Linked DNA regions of Anolis sagrei. The protein of the gene in region 2 binds, or shares a complex with, the protein of the main gene of each other region. Links are inferred from orthologs where the notes say so. Each region holds a gene or a part of one and is shown on either strand. Other genes may lie near its edges.

Region 1 (8,706 bases), on a different chromosome or scaffold from region 2:
ATGAATACCCCCAAAGCAAAGCTTGACAAAGAATTAAAAGACCCCAAAAACCCGGGTAGAAGAGGCTCGGGGCAAGAGGACATTAACATGAAAGACATCCTGAAAGAACTTCAAAAACTATCGGAAAAAATAACTGAAAATCAAGAAGAGAACAAGAAAGAACTGAAGTCCATTAGGGAAAGCCAAATCAAACAACAGGCCCAACTTGAGCTAATGAGGAAAGAGTTTAAAGAAGACCTAGGTACTATTAGAAAGGACATTATGAAGAACTCTAACGACATAAATATAATTAAGAACGATAGCTGCAAGCTAGGGAAGGAGCAAAAAAAGATGCAACGCGAACTAGAAGAACTATCGGCAAAAAATGACAGGACTATAAGGGAGCTGGAACATGCCCAGCAAGAGGAGATGGAATATTTTTTGAGACTGAGGAATCTTCAGGAAGAATCTCAAGAAGATCTAAGAGCAAAAATTATTAATCTACTGGCAACCCACACCGACATACCAGAAGGAACAATTCAACAAGAAATAGACCGCACCTACCGAGTTCAATCGTCCTTCGCCAAACAAAACAAGGTTGCAAGAGACGTGATGGTGCGTTTCACGCGCAAATATACTAGAGATGAAATCCTGAGACAATCTAATAAAAACCCTTTAACACTAGATGGAAAGAAAATCATAGTACTCAAAGAAATTCCTAAATCAATACTGGACAGACGCAAAAAATATTCGTTTTTAACCCAAGAACTGAAGAGACGCAGCATCAAATTTAGGTGGGACAAATCGGAAGGTCTAATGGGCACCTTCAAAGATGAGAGATATTGGATTAAAAGTGAGGAGAAGGCTAAAGCCTTTCTACAAAGGATAAAAAGAGAAGGCACAACATCCCAGGTAGAAGAATCACCATCAACAGGAAACACAAGGAAGCGTCTCCGACCGAATACCCCGACCAAAGAAGATGAAAAACCAGACCGGGCGATGGCGCTGACTATGACTATGGACAACGTAGAAACTGGATTAGGCGATGCCAAGTTTAGTCTTGATGAGTCATTGGCGAGGGTCTCAGTGGTCTCAGGAAGTGAGTGAAGTGACTGCAAGTCCCATCATCCATTGTCAAATTCTTCCAAACCGCACCAGGATGTAGAGTGAGTTATGCAGGCTCTCTGTGTAAATTGTGGTCCTGATCCATCATCGTTGGCAGTTGTAATGGTCTTAGGAAGGGAGTGCAGGTAATGCAAGTTCCATCATCCATGGTGCATCCTCCCTCAAACTGCACCTGGATGTAGAGTGCGTCATGGAGACTCAGTGTGCCAAGTTTGGTATTTATCGGTAATTGGATGAGGGTTGCAGTGGTCTGAAGAATTGAGCAGTGGTACTGCAAGTCCCATAATCCACGGTCCATCTCGGCCAAACCACACCAGGACGTAAAGTGGGTCATGAGAGGTCTCTGTGTGAAATTTGGTCCTGATCAGTCATTGGATAAGGTTAACAGCGGTCTCAGAATGTGAGTGGTGGTACTGCAAGTCCCATCATCCATGGTTCCTAGTCCTCCAAACTGCAGTAGGATGTAGAGTGGGTGATAGGGGCTCTGTGTGCCTATTTCGGTCTGTATTGGTAGTGTTCTGACTCAGCCCCCTCTGGCCTTTTCCTTTCCTCTCTTTCTCATCTCGGAATGTTGGATTTGAGGCTGGCCAATCAGAGGCCATATGCAAATTTCCTTCTGTCATGCCCCGTTTCTGCCATGAACCCTCTTCTCCACCAGGGGCTCCTATTGAAGCTGCCCAATCAGAGACCATATGCAAATAGCAGCATAGTGGCAGCCAATCAGAACGCTGCCACAAACTTTTCCGCCCTACGTCCTCCCTCCACATACAAACACTCTTCTTTATTATATACTAGCTTGGGGACCCGGCGTTGCCCGGGTTATTAGAGAAAGTAGGTAATGGCGGTTCTGTATGCCAAGTTTGGACTTTATTGGTCTTTGGATAATGGCTGCATTATTTTCAGGAAGTGAGTGAAGGTACCTGAAGTCCCATCATCCATGGGCCATCCTCCTACAAACAGCAGCAGGATATAGAGTGGGTCATGGGGGCTCTGTGTGCCAAGTTTGGTCTTTATCAGTCATTAGATGAGGGTGGCAGTGGTGTCAGTAAGTGAGTGAAGGTACTGCAAGTCCCATCATCCATTGTCAAATTCTTCCAATCCGCACCAGGATGTAGAGTGGGTCATGCTGGGTCTCTGTGTAAATTGTGGTCCTGATCCATCATTGTTGTCAGTTGTAATGGTCTTAGGAAGGGAGTGCAGGTATTGCAAGTCCCATCGTCCATGGTGCACCCTCCTTCAAACTGCACCTGGATGTAGAGTGCGTCATGGAGACTCAGTGTGCCAAGTTTGGTCTTTATCGGTAATTGGATGAGCGTTGCAGTGGTCTCAGGAATTGCGCAAAAGTACTGCAAGTCTCATAATCCATGGTCTATCCCCAGCCAAACACACACCAGGAGGTAAAGTGGGTCATGAGAGGTCTATGTGGCAAGTTTGGTCCTGATCAGACATTGGATGAGGTTAACAGCGGTCTCAGAATGTGAGTGATGGTACTGTAAGTCCCATCATCCAAAGTCGATCCTCCTTCAAACTGCAGCAGGATGCAGAGTGGGTCATGGGGGCTCTGTGTGCCAAGTTTGATCTTGATCAGACATTAGATGAGGGTTGCAGCTGTCTTGGGAAGGGAGTGGAGGTACTTGAAGTCCCATCATCCATAGTCTGTTCTCTCCCAAACCTCACCAGAATGTTGAGTTGGCCATGGGAGCTCTGTGTGCCAAGTTTGGTCTTCATCAGTCATTGGATGAGGGTCTCAGTGGTTTCACTGAGTGAAGGTACTCTAAGTCCCATCATCCATGGTGCATCATCCTCCAAACCATACCAGGATGTAGAGTGCATAATGGAGACCCGGTGTGCCAAGTTTGGTCCTTATCAGAAATTGGATGATGTTTTGCAGTGGTCTCAGAAATTGAGCGAAGGTACTGCAAGTCCCAAAATCCATGCACGATCCACAGTCAAACCTCACCAGGGCATAAAGTGGGTCATGAGAGGTCTATGTGCCAAGTTTGGTGTTGTTCAGTCATTGTTGAGGGTCGCAGCAGTCTCGGAAAGCGAGTAGAGGTACTTCAAGTCCCATCATCCATGGCATGCCCTACTCCAAACCGTATTAGGATGTAGAGTGGGTCATGGGGGCTCTGTGTGCCAAGTTTGGTTTTGTTTGGACATTAGATGAGGGTTGCAGCAGTCTTGGGAAGGGAGTGGAGGTACTTCAAGTCCCATCATCCATGGTCTGTCCTCCTCGAAAGTGCACCAGGATGTAGAGTGGGTCATGGGGGACTCTGTTTGCCAAGTTTGGTCTTGATCAGTCATTGGCGAGGGTCGCAGTGATCTCAGGAAGTGAGTGAAATGATTGCAAGTCCCATCATCCATTGCCAAATTCTTCCAAACCGCACCAGGATGTAGAGTGGGTCATGCAGGCTCTCAGTGTAAATTGTGGTCCTGATCCATCATCGTTGGCAGTTGTAATGGTCTTAGGAAGGGAGTTTAGGTATTGTAAGTCCCATCGTCCATGGTGCATCCTCCTTCAAACTGCACCTGGATGTAGAGTGCGTCATGGAGACTCAGTGTGCCAAGTTTGGTATTTATCGGTAATTGGATGAGGGCTGCAGTGGTCTGAAGAATTGAGCAATGGTACTGCAAGTCCCATAATCCACGGTCCATCCCCGGCCAAACCACACCAGGACGTACAGTGGGTCATGAGAGGTCTATGTGCGAAGTTTGGTCCTGATCAGTCACTGGATGAGGTTAACAGCAGTCTCAGAATGTGAGTGGTGGTACTGCAAGTCCCATCATCCATGGTTCATCCTCCTCCAAACTGCAGTAGGATGTAGAGTGGGTGATGGGGGCTCTGTGTGCCAATTTCGGTCTGTATTGGTAGTGTTCTGACCCAGCCCCCGGCCTTTCCTTTCCTCTCTTTCTCATCTCGGAATCTTGCATTTGAGGCTGGCCAATCAGAGACCATATGCAAATTTCCTTCTGTCATGCCCCGTTTCTGCCATGAACCCTCTTCTCCACCAGGGGCTCCTATTGAAGCTGGCCAATCAGAGACCATATGCAAATAGCACCACAGCGGCAGCCAATCAGAACGCTGGCACATACACTTCCGCCCTCCCTCCGTCCTTCCTCTGTCCTATACAAACAAACACTCTTCTTTATTATATATACAGATATAGATACAGATATAGATATAGATAGATAGACATAGATAGATAGATTGATTGATTGTTTGGTAACATTAATAAGCTGAGCCAAGTCTACAAGGACTTTGTTAATAAATACCCTGTTTAATGTTTAATCTTGAAGTGGTCTCAGTTATTCAAGAAAGCTCAATCTTCTAAAGAAAGACCCCAGCAGTTTCGCCCAGACATAGATAGCAGTACATCAGAGTTTGTTTTATAAAGCGTCTGGGCGTAACGGCACAGAACAACCAAAGACAAACCAAAGACACCCATCCTTGCGTGCTGTGTTTCCTGCTGCGCGCGCGCCGGCCGGAGGAGGGCGCCGGTGCGCGAGGGGCGCTCCCGCGTGCTGGGCGGGGCCTGCTCCTCCTCCTCCTCCAGTGGATTGCTGGCGGCAGGCGCGCGCTGCGTCGGGCGCCTCACGCGCTCTCTTTCCCGAGGCGGCGAAGCAGGAGGTGGGCGGAGCCTATCGGGAGATGCGGGCCACTTGAAGCGGCGCAGCCGAGGCGAGCGGAGCTAGAGGGAATGGCTGCGGCGGCGGCGGGAGGCAGCGAGGAGCCCTTGCCGGGCCCTTCGGGGCTCCGCAGGGGAGGACGAGGCGACGGCGAGAAGGACGAGGACGACGACGAGGAGGAGGCGCCCTTGGCTCCACTGCGGGAGGCGCTCTCTCTGGAGGAGATCCTGAGGCTCTACAACCAGCCCATCAACGAGGAGCAGGCCTGGGCCGTGTGCTACCAGTGCTGCGGGTCTCTCCGGAGAGAGTCGTCGTCGTCGCCGCTGGGACGCCGGGTGGAGAGCCCCGCCGACATCCGCATCGCCAGGGACGGCGCCGTCACCTTGGACCGAGGAGGAGGAGGAGGCCCCGGAGGAGCAGGTAGGAGCCCTCCGTTCCCATGGCGACGGCCCCCCTCCCGTCTCCTAGCAACGCAGGGGGAGAGCCCCTCCCTGCCCGGGGGATCCGTTGCTAGGGGGAGAATCCTCTCCTAGCAACGGACCCCCGCCTTGCCCTTGCTGTCCCCTCCTTCCCTCACGTTATCCTTAGCTCGCCTTTCTCTCTCATGTTTATATATTGGGCCTTCCTTATCCGCTGGGGTTTGGTCCCGGGAATCCGCAAAACCCTAAGCAAATTGTGACCAAGATTGCAAATCAGGCCTGGGCAAACTGCGGCCCTCCTGATGTTTTGGACTTCAACTCCCACAATTCCTAACAGCCGCTGTTAGGAATTGTAGGAGTTGAAGTCCAAAACATCAGGAGGGCCACAGTTTGCCCATGCTTGCTGTAAATACTATAACTTCTACTACTAATCTATATAAATAAAAATACAGTGGTCAATGTATTGTCGAAGGCTTTCATGGCTGGAATCACTAGGTTCTTGTGGGTTTTTTCGGGCTATAGGGCATTTCTCCTGACGTTTCGCCTGCATCTATGGCAAGCATCCTCAGAGGTAGTGAGGTCTGTTGGAAATAGGACAAAATCCGCGGCGGCATGGTATACGGTAAAACTATTAAAACAGACCTCACTACCTCTGAGGATGCTTGCCATAGATGCAGGCGAAACGTCAGGAGAAATGCCTCTAGAACATGGCCCTATAGCCCGAAAAAACCCACAAGAACCTAATGCAATGTTCATTTGTGGGATTAATATAACTCAAAAACCACTGGACTAATTGACACCAAATTTGGACACAATACACCTTTCAGGCCAATGAGTGACCATCACTCATAAAAACACAGAAAAACATAGCAGAAGATACTTAAGAAGCCAAAAAACAAAAATTACATCACAACACATGCACAAAACCACATATATACACAAACATACATATATACACACATAAACAAACATACACACACTCATATACACACACACAAAACACATATACAGAGACTGGGCCACAGCAACGTGTGGCAGGGGATGGCTATTAAATAATAAAGGAGACGCTAATGATGTTGGTTTTTATGGCTTCTGTTGTGGTTTTATATTGTTTTTAATGTTTTAATTTGTATTATGATATTATGTGTACTGATTTGTTGTTAACCCGCCCTGAGTCGCCGACAGGCTGAGAAAGGCCGTATACCAATACAGTAAATATAAATAAAATAATAAATAAATAAACTTTATTTATATTTTTCCCCCTTCTTCCCAAAGGGACCCAGGAAGGCCTACAGCCAAACAAACAAATACAGTAAATGGTATAACACTGACAAAGATCACATATCAATTTGTGAAAGCAAAATAGCAGGATAATGAAGTGCTCTTGTATTTAGCCCCCTGGTGGCGCAGCATGTTAAACCGCTGAGCTTGCTGACCAAAAGGTTGGCGGTTCGAATCTGGGGAAAGGGGTGAGCTCCCGCTGTTAGCCCCAGCTTCTGTCAACCTAGCAGTTTGAAAACATGCAAATGTGAGTAGATCAGTACATGCTGCTCTGGTGGGAAGGTAATGGTCCTCCATGTAGTAATGCTGGCCCCATGACCTTGGAGGTGTCTACGAACAACGCCGGCTCTTCGGCTTAGAAATGGAGATGAGCACCATCCCCCAGAGTTGAACACGATTTGACTTAATGTTGGGGGAAAACTTTTACCTTTACATAATAATAATAATAATAATAATAATAATAAGGTATTTATATCCCACCCCTCTCCCCAAAGGGACTTGGGTGGCTTACAGCAAAATAAACAAATACAGTAAATGTGTTTGTCAAAGGCTTTAATGGCTAGAATCACTGGGTTGCTGTGAGTTTTCCGGGCTGTATAGCCATGTTCCAGAAGCATTCTCTCCTGATGTTTCGCCCACATCTGTGGCAGGAATCCTCAGAGATTGTGAGGTCTGTTGGAAACAACGCAAGTAAGGTTTATATATCTGTTGAAGGTCCAAGGTGAGAGAAAGAACTCTTGTCTGTTAAAGGCAAGTATGAATGCTTCAATTGAACACCTTGATTAGCACAGCCTAGAAGTCAGCCGTAGCAGAACACCTGATGAACCAACCTGGACACAGCATATGACTTGAGAACACAGAAATGCTGGGCCACTCTAACAATCACCATGTCCGATTACACAGAGAAGCCATTGTACTCCACAAGCATGTGGACAATTTCAACAGAAAGGAGGAAACCATGAAAATGGACAAAATCTGGCTACCAGTATTAAAAAATCTCTAAAATCAGGACAGTAATTAAAAAGGAACATTCAAACACCAGGGGAATTCCAGACAGGAAACAATCAGGGCCAGGTAACACCTCCCAAACAAAGGATTCCTCCAGGCAGGAAGCAGCCAAGTCTTGAAGCTGCAAGGTTATTCAGTGCTAATCATGGTGATCAGTTGCAACATTCACACTTGCCTCAGGCAGACAAGAATTCTTTCTCCCACCCTGGACATTCCACAGACATAAAAAACCCCACTTGCTTTGTTTCCAACAAACCTCACAATCTCTGAGGATGCCTGCCATAGATGTGGGTGAAATGTCAGGAGAGAATGCCATACAGCCCGAAAAACTCACAGCAACCCAGAATGCAGTAAATGATATAACACAGACAATAATTGCATACCAGTTTATAAAAGCAAAATAGCATGATAATGTAAACATAAATTTAAAAAGTTTAAAAGACGATTTATCCCTCTAAAAACAGTGTGTGTGTGTGTGTATGTATGTATCTATGTGTGTGTGTGTATGTATGTATCTATGTGTGTGTGTGTGTGTGTGTGTATATATATATATATATACATACTGTTTAAAACCAGCTAATTCCTATGATCAGAGTATGATACATTCCTATGATACATTTTATTTATTACCCCCTCTCCGAATGGCTACAGGCAGAGTGCAACAAATTCAAAAACAAATGCACATAAACAAACAAGAAATTACTAAATTACATAGATAAAGGTACATAAATATATAATGCAATCTAACACCTTTACTGCTGGCTTGAGGCAGGGTACAACAAATTCAAAAATACATGAAGATTAAAAAATATAATGAATTACCAAATAAGTTAGATAGATAAAAACACATAAATATATAAAGACATAAATATGTAACGTTACACAACAGTTTTACTGCATTATAAATACCTATTCCAGATATCAACTCTCAAGCAACCAACCCCAAAAAACCAAAGAGTGCTTCAAATAAAAAGTTTAAAAAATCATATTTTATCTAATACTATAAAACACGTTGATCCATGTTTAGCTGCCATCTTTCTATTAATCCACAGTAGACTCTCCATTAACCAGAACTCTTGAGCAACCAAAACTCTCAACTGGCACAAAAAAGAAAAACATTTTTATGCAGAACAAGGCTTTTTAAAATAATTCAGTAAAACCGTTACATTATGTTTGCCTTTCTTTGTCATAATTTGCTTTTAATTTGCTGTGAACTGATATCAAAAGCATTGGTAGATAACGGATACATGTAGTTTCTGGTTACTTG
Region 2 (8,697 bases):
AGGATAAGAACATTTTAATCATACACTAAAATTAGCCTCCCATTGTTGCTTTCTTCTAAAGAAGTGCTAAACAAAATTCCCTACAGCTGTAGAAAAGAGCAGTGCAAAAGAAATTATTGTTTACTTCAAAGTCCCCCCCCCCCTATTTTTTTTCCTTTCAAGGACACAAACTTCCCTTCTCTTTCATCTGGTTATCTCTAACCTACATGGTCCCAGGGAATTTTGTGTATTTCCTTTATAACCCAAGACATGCTAGCATTGTTTGGCTACTCTCTCCAAGGATTCCCCATGCCCCAGGCAGGAATGTGTCCCTCCAGTGAGCTTTAGGTTTCTTCCAGGAAATGCTAGTTTACCTGCTTTAGGTAAATGGAATGAAAATGCCCAGCCTCTTTCCTCTTTCAGAATATACTACATGAATGCCTATGCAGTGCAAACTGATCGGGATGAAAGGGAAGGTATGGAGAATTTTAGTTGAATTTTCATGGATGCCTGTGTTGTATAATGTAAGTTTGGTTCTGTGTTATACCTTTTTTTTCTACTTGTTTGCAGTTCTGTTTTATTTGTGTATTTAAATTAATCAGTTAAATTGAAATGTAAATGTTTATATTTGCCCCTATGTATAGAGATCTGAAGGAAGGAAGAGAGAACAGCATTAATCAATTATGAAATAATTTAAATTAATTCAACAAGACCAATAAGGTACAGACATCCATACCGCAGTGGGTCTGAGTCAAGACTTGGTTTCCTGGCCCCAAATTTTGTGATGGACGGTGAAGTTTGAGGATTAGGAGTTTCTGAATCTGTATATTATGTTTCAAACTTTGGAAAATTGTTGTATATTAATTAGCTTAAAATTTTAGAGACACGTGCAAACACCCACCACACTTAAGTCATAATCTTAAACATTCTGCGGGCATATGTTCTTTCTGCTTTTTTATTTTACTTGTGCAGTAGTGTCTCAAATCTTTGAATCAGACATTTAACATGAAACCAAATCTTTTTGAGGTTAACCCACACCTCAAGTTCAGTTGGTTGAGAACAGAAGGAAGCTCAAATGCTATGGCCATATCACCCTGAACATGCCTGATCTTATCTGATCTTGAAAGCTAAGCAGAGTTGGGCCTAGTTAGTACTTGGATGGAAGACCACCTGGGAATACTGGGCGCTGTAAGCTAAAGAATGTTGGGGGTGCTTTGAATGTGATTTTCCTGCTTCTTGGCAGGGGGTTGGACTGGATGGCCCATGAGGTCTCTTCCAACTCTATGATTCTAATGAAAATGCTTAGAGGGCTGTGCGTAGTTTTCTCTTCTTTTCTGTGTAGATTTAGGACCATTTTGTTGACTTGTTAAATTCATCTTGAACAGTGTCATTCTCATTCATTGGGGCTAGCCTTGAAAATGTAGTTTAAAAATAGTTCTTATGCAGACACTTCAGTAGTGTCTCAATTGGCATGAGACATATGGGGGTGGGGTATAAAATGCTTTAAAGTTGTAATTTTTTGAAATGTAGTGTCTGCATACTACAGTAAATGTATACATTGTATAATCCTTAGTCAGTAGCATCATACATATATTCATTCCAGGTCTTGGAAACAAGTAGATGAATTTAACTAGCTGTTTGCACAGTTTGGTGACTCTTCCCCCAATGAAACGTAATGAGTTGATTTGTTGATCAATAGCACTCACTAATGTTGCTGAGATATAACTAGTTAAATTTATTTAGTTGTGTCTTAAAAAATCTCTAGTGAGGCTTTCAAAGTAAGTTTGGTGGCTTTAGAACACACTATTAATATGCTGCAGTAACTAAATGCTTTTCCTCGTTATGCATGGCACAGGGAGCATTCGGAATAGGAGAATTTTAAGAGAGCAGAGAGGTAATTGGGAATTGAAGATTGTAGAAAATGAACTTTGAATCTCTGATCCTTGTGTACAACATACACATTGGAGCATTTATCTACACAAGACCATGGGCCCATCCAGACAGGGCCTTTATTGTGGGAACTCCCACAATAAAGGAGGGGCTGTCCAGACAACATTCTGGACAGTCCTGAATTAATTCACTACAAACTAGGAGAACCCTGGTTTGTAGCGAATAAATTTGATAGTGGATTTATCCTATGCCTTTTTGGAAGGTGCGATAAATGCATTATTTCTGGTGTCTGTTCTACAGTCCAGACACCATTCCCACAGTTTACCGGCTAAATAAGCCTGGTAAACTGTGGGAATACCCACCCTCCCCCCAAGCCCCCAGACCCCTTAGTTAAAAAAAACTTACCAGGCCTGCAGTATACCCTCGGAGCAGCTCTTCCAGTGTATACAAATGACACGCCAGGAGAGCTGGGGGAGGGGGTGGAGAGGAGAAAATCCCTCCCCCATTCTTCTGGCACGTCATTTGTACGTGCCGGGAGAGCTGCTCTGAGGGTATACTGCAGACCTGGTAAGTTTTTGTAACCTTTCTAAGGGGTCTGAGGGCTTGGGGGGAGGGGGGTAGGGCCTCCGGACATTCTCTCAGGCTAGTCTCAAGAGAACGTCTGGATAACCCACCCCAGAATGCGTGCATTATTTTAATGTGGATGCTTCTGGGATAAAGGCCTGTCTGAATCCGGCCCATTTGACTCTGAAAGTTGAAGATGTAGTTATCCAGTATTGCAGAAAAAGTTTTGCATATGTTCTGAATCACTCAAAATACTTCTGAATAAGACTTCTTTACCTTTAGTTCACTGCCTGATGTTTGTAGCTAGCTGCTTTTTGCTGCACTTCAATTTTGCTTTGATTCAATGTGTTGTGACTCAAATGAACAGTCTTCCCCTTATTTATCATCTCCAATTCAAGAAAGGGTAAAAGGTAAAGTAGTTTGTTAGGGGACAATTGTAACCAATTGTGTCATTTTTTTTAAAAAAAGATTGTTAACTATTTTATTAACAAGTTACTTCACAGTAACAGAACCTATTAAATTCTAGATGTCTCAATATTAACAGTTGCACATTTTCCCACTTTTGGAATAACCAATCTGTCTGCCAGTTCCTTTTCTTTTCTTTCTTTCCATTACTTCTCTTTTTGTCAGCAACTAAAGACCTTTTCATATAAGCAGGCTCTTGGCCTTTAACCTGTTGTGGTTGAATAGGAGGTGTTATACTTTTATCCTATTTAATGCATTAAAGTGCTTCAACTTGTCTTAAACAGTTTTATTTTAGAACAATTGGCCCTTCCTAGCCATGAATTCTGCGTGCACACATTTCCTCATCAACAACTTGAATTTTAAGAAAAATTCCAAAAGCAAACCTTAATGTAATGGACATTGTTGTACTAAACAATTGCATATAAACAAACAAATAAATAAATAATCCCCATGGATTATTCATGAGTCACTATATTTTAATGAAATTGCTTATATTTTTTTAAAAGTCATGTGGATCTTAGATATGTTTTGTTCTAATTTGTTATAAGTAGCTTTAGGTCCCATACCAGGAGAAAAGCAGGATACAAAATAAATGAGTGAAATAAATGTTAAGGAATCACTGTTTTTGTTTTGTGTATTTTGATACATATTTTATGGAGGTATATTTTAATATGTGTATTTTACAGAATGTTTTAAAATGATTGTATGTTGTTTATGTTTTCATAATGCTCTAACCTGCCTTGAGCTGTGAGGACAGGCGGGCAAGAAATAAAACTATTCTTCTTCTTCTTCTTCTTCTTCTTCTTCTTATTATTATTATTATTATTAAACCTAAAATTACAATATTTTGGTCTATTAGCAGTACTGCCAGTTGGTTCAATAAATATCTGTATGCAAGTTGGAAGTGATCTGTGAATTCAGTGGAGTAGATTTTTTTTAATAAAAAGGACACATCTTTATTTTCCTTATCCATTTTTAATTATCTGGTTTTTTTCTGATAATGATATACAGTATCTGGTATAGGCTGCTGCTAAGGTCATGGAACAGATGGGACTTGGGGCTGATTTGCAATAGCAGGCCTTATACTGCTCTTGTTCCGTAGATACATTACTTTTAAAATGGCAATCCCATGATCATAAAACTATAAGGCTGATGTGTGTGTATTACAGTAAGGATTAATTTATATAAACCACTACCAGGAAGAGAAGCAATTATACTTAATGAGCCATACAATATGTTAAAAGTCATTGTTATAGAACATATAGATATGACCTGAAGCATAACTTGTTTTAGATCTTGGTGATAGTGTAATTATTTATACCAGAGCGAGGCTAGGGGAACAATCTATGTGAGCTGAATATTGATGAACTTTATCCCTTTGAGGATTACCATTATTTGTGTCCTTTTGGCATACAGATGGCTTATTTCTGAATGGTCATATAGAACAAAAAATTAAATAATCTGCAGTATTGTTAGCCTTTAAAATTTCAGGGAATTATTGTGTTAATGTTTTGTTTAAAAAATGTAAAAGTTTGTGAGAGAGTTTCAAAACCAGAATACTGTCTGAATTTTTACAAAATTGAATGCACAGTACTTGTACATATATTGCATTTTAGCAAAATGTGAATTAAAGCATCATTTTTTTTTTTACAAAGGTTAAAAATACTACTTTTTTCAGGGAACAGCCAGAAAGTTTTATGTGAAGCCTGAGTTTTAATTTCCCTCTTTCTTTTTCTTGCTCTCTTTTCCTTCCCAACATAAAATTCCAGGAAGTCAAACTTTTGAAGTCTTGAAATTTAAGACATGCAACGACAAACTGATCCACCCCCAGTAACAATGCAGGGGATTCAGGCAGTGGAGGGAAAAAATCCTGTTGTCAAGGCATCCTTATTCACATCAACCAAAGGGAGCCTGGAGTGTAGCAGCAGACTCTGTCTGAAGAGGCAACGCTGCCACGAGCCACCATTGGAAGGAGCTGTCTGCATCTCTCGGTGCTCTACTGAGCATGTCCCAGAGGAGCTCTATGCCAGCAGCACATTATGCAAAAAAGCAGCTCGAGCAGCTGAGAGGGAGGCAGAACAAGCCTTTGCTCCACTTGCATCACCGCTGCTTGAAAACAAACCTGGATTACCCGAAAGGTCTCCGCTGCCAGGCCAGCTGAATGAAACCGAACGACATGACTTGATTCCTGATGCTGCACCACTGCAAAGCAATATGGGGAATCAAGATGGGAAACTGAAGAAGAATGCAGGTGATGCACACGATGGAGGTGAGGATGCTTCAGGGCCCAGGGATGCGGATGGCACAAAGAAGGGAGCAGGGAGCAAAAAGGGACTGGGGAAGCATGGCAAAGGGAATGAATCGGGTAAAAAGAAGGGCAAGTCAGAGTCCCGAGGCTCTGTGTTTTCCAATCTGCGGATCAGAAAGAATCTCTCCAAAGCAAAGGATGGAAACAGCAGCTCAAGAGAGGATGTTTTAGAAAGCCAGGCCTCACAAACAGGGGAGCTAGACAGCGCTCATTCAGTCCTCACCAAAACTCCTGATATTAGCATTTCTGCAGATGAGGGGGGTCTCTCAGACACAGATGTGGAACATTTTGAACATACAAATGAAACTCGCCCAGCTGCAGCCGAGCCGCAGGATGGACAAAGGACCAGCTCCGGCTCCGATACGGATATATACAGTTTCCATTCAGCCACAGAACAAGAGGATTTGCTTTCTGATATCCAGCAGGCTATTAGACTGCAACTGCAGCAGCAGCAGGGGGCAATTAATATTGGAACTGAGCAGAATGGCACCAAAACAATGGGCCTACACATGGCTAATTCTCAAGCAGCCCCCTTCGATTTTGAAAGGTTTCTTTCATTAAGCAGTGACAAAGACAGCAGTCCAGAAACAGAACAACCTGTCTCAGCTAAATCGGAAATTGCAGACTATATCCCTACAAGTGATATCGAAAGTGGAGTGAAAGGGGTGACAAATGGAACAGGGCATTCCTGCAGCAGTGTATTTGATGTGCAAGAAGAACATAAGCAGTTGCCAGAAGAGCAAAGGCAATCTGCCAGTGAACAAAAAGCTGCAGCAACAGAAAATGGGACTCTGCTAGCCAGAACAGTGTTTAATTTCCCATCACCAATTGGGGAATCGGAAACTGAGGTGATGGCTTTTGAATTTTCAGGTTCAGAAAGGGAGGAAGAGGATATTGCTGACACAAGCCACAGCCAAGCTGAAGGAGCCAAAGACAGGAAAAGGAGTATATCAGCTAGCAGGGAGGCCTTAGATGATGGCTTTACTGCTACAATAAAAAATGGAACTCTGTCCTCCAATGATGTCTCAAGTAGTCCTATGCATAGTTCCAAAGGTTTAAAGCCCTTTCCTCCCATTAACCCATGCTATATCAAAACCACCACTAGGCAGTTGAGTTCTCCAAATCATTCGCCCTGTCTGTCGCCATCCCAAAGTCCACTCTTCAAAAGGAGACGTGAGTCTGCTCAGAGGAAAGAAAATGTGTCATCCAAGAAGCAGAGGTCATCCAGTTTGGCTGGTCCATTTAGCCGATCAGCAGACTGGACAGATGAGGTTTTCAATCATCGAGGTGATGTAGCTCAAAAGTCAGGCTCTGCAGATTTCTTGGAGTACAGACGGAGTAGAGACGGCTTCCAGGGAGAGAGAGTGCCTTTGAATCACTTGAGAAAGTCCTCTGGGACTCCAGCTTCCACTGACACCTTCCCCAATGTTTTTACAGGTGAGTGCTAATTGTAAATGAACATTAGCTGTTGACTCAAGTCTTAGGAGTAAGCTCTTCATACAGAACTAATAATGCAGGTTTTCTATTTTAGATTAGATCAGTGGTTCTCAACCTGTGGGTCCCCAGGTGTTTTGGCCTACAACTCCCAGAAACCTCAGTCTGTTTACCAGGTGTTAGGATTTCTGGGAGTTGCAGACTAAAACATCTGGGGACCCACAGGTTGAGAACCACCGGATTAGATTAAAAACCCAAATTCTGCATATATATATATGTATGTGTGTATATATATATATCAGATTCCATTGGAAATGAATGTATGGCAAAGCATCAATTTAGAACTCTTCTAGGTGAGATATATTAAGTATATGCATTGGGCAACTAATATTGTGTGTAGTAATAGTGTCTTGTGTGATTAACATTCAAAGTGCTTTACATTCTTAATAGGGAGCTACTCATCTTTGCAACAGGGTGCATTAATGAAAGCTAATGATCTGACCAAGGCCTCCCAATGAATAAATCTAGACCAGCCAAACACAATTGAATCTAGACCAGCCAAACTACACACGGTTTTGTTCACTGGGCTGATTTCTTATATAACTTTTGATACATTTCTGTTTCCTAATATTTTGTGTCTTGTTTCTTTACAACAATATTGAAAGTTCAGATGTTTTCCATTCTTGAGAACATAAACTTGGAATAACAATGGGCAGTGAGCCAGATTTCAGGCCCCTTCTCCATGCAGATATCTACTGAAACCTTACATAGTTTCAGTATTGATTTCCACAGCCTTGCTTTGCTTTATTCTGATGCTTAAAACCATTTTATGAAGTTAGTAGTGAGGTACCAGGCAAGAAAATTGATGGAGATGCTTTTTGCTTTGCTTCAAATACTTTTTGGTTCTGACCACTATAATGATATCTTGTGATGCTCTGTTCAAACCCAGAAGCACTTGAGAGAAAGAGAAAACAGCTCAACACTTCACTTGCATCAGGTGCACTTTTAAGAAAGATTTATTACCCAGTGGGTTGCACAAATAGTTTTGTACACATTAGCTCTTACTCTTGACACTGTCCAGCTAAAACATATGGGATCTGCCCCCCTACTACTTACAAAATGATTATGTTATAGGTCCCCAAGGCCTTGATGTACCCTCAAAAATCCATTATAAGAGTCCAGAGGTTTTCGGACAGTGGTTCTCAACCTGTGGGTCCCCAGATGTTTTGGCCTTCAACTTCCTGAAATCCTAACAGCAGGTAAACTGGCTGGGATTTCTGGGAGTTGTAGGCCAAAACATCTGACGACTCACATGTTGAGAACCACTGTTGTAGGAGAAAAGGAAGTATGTGCAATAGCTGCCTGGCCTATCCCAACAGTGTTTAGCAGCACCATAGGATCTTACGTTTGTAAAAGTGGTAACAGTGTCAGCTAGAACGAGCGCCCTGAAGCAATACCAGATGTTTAACTATGCTGCATGCTGACACTGAGACTTCTGGGTTGGTATTTACTGTGCCTCAGCTTCTCGGCCGAATGCCATCTGGTAGCTAAACATTGACAATATACAGTATAATCTATAATTCCATTTATGTAAAAGCATGTCTTAGGATGCATCTGCTCTGTAGAATGAATGCAGTTTGACACCACTTTAACTGTCATGGCTCAATACTATGGAGTCCTGGGAGTTGTAGTTTTCCAAGGTACCTTACCCTTTCTGCTGAAGAGTGCTGGTGCCTCACCAAACAATAAAACCCAGGATTCCATAGAAGTAAACCATGTCAGTACTACACTCATTTGACAGTGTAGATTTAACTTAGATCAAGAGCTGACCAACCATCTTGCCTTCCAGATATTCTTACATTGCACTCCCTTTCAGTTTTAGTCAGCATAGTGAAAGGTAAATAATTATGGCATTATCTAAAACTGTCTGGAAGAACTTGGTAGCCCATAAAGATGCACTGTATGCCAAAATAGATATTATTTTAGCACCAGCATCCTATTCTTTCCTAAACCAAGCAAATGGTTTTTCTAATATTCCACTTCTTCCATCTTGCACA

What was found.
Region 1: the proteins of FMN2 (region 2) and SPIRE1 are in contact, whole or in part, in a crystal structure (PDB 2YLE), measured with the Homo sapiens proteins. The link is inferred for Anolis sagrei from reciprocal best matches to the Homo sapiens genes FMN2 and SPIRE1. Residues at the interface, in NP_064450.3 of Homo sapiens: Ser1702, Leu1703, Lys1705, Ile1706, Lys1707, Pro1708, Arg1709, His1710, Gly1713, Ile1714, Lys1715, Lys1717, Ile1718, Lys1721, Thr1722; in NP_001122098.1 of Homo sapiens: Gln51, Pro52, Ile53, Asn54, Glu127, Ile131, Tyr134, Lys135, Asp138, Leu141, Lys142, Glu143, Asn144, Glu145, Glu146, Arg147, Glu148, Glu154, Ile157, Asp158, Ala161, Asn162, Thr163, Val164, Glu165.

Annotation. Positions count from the first base shown.
Region 1 is NC_090024.1:66,244,123-66,252,828, reverse strand, and holds the start of SPIRE1 (protein spire homolog 1), read left to right. Parts: upstream 1-4,660; 5' UTR 4,661-4,802; coding exon 4,803-5,151; intron 5,152-8,706.
Region 2 is NC_090021.1:56,809,299-56,817,995, reverse strand, and holds the start of FMN2 (formin-2), read left to right. Parts: upstream 1-4,803; 5' UTR 4,804-5,112; coding exon 5,113-6,643; intron 6,644-8,697. UniProt on the Homo sapiens protein: Actin-binding protein that is involved in actin cytoskeleton assembly and reorganization. Acts as an actin nucleation factor and promotes assembly of actin filaments together with SPIRE1 and SPIRE2.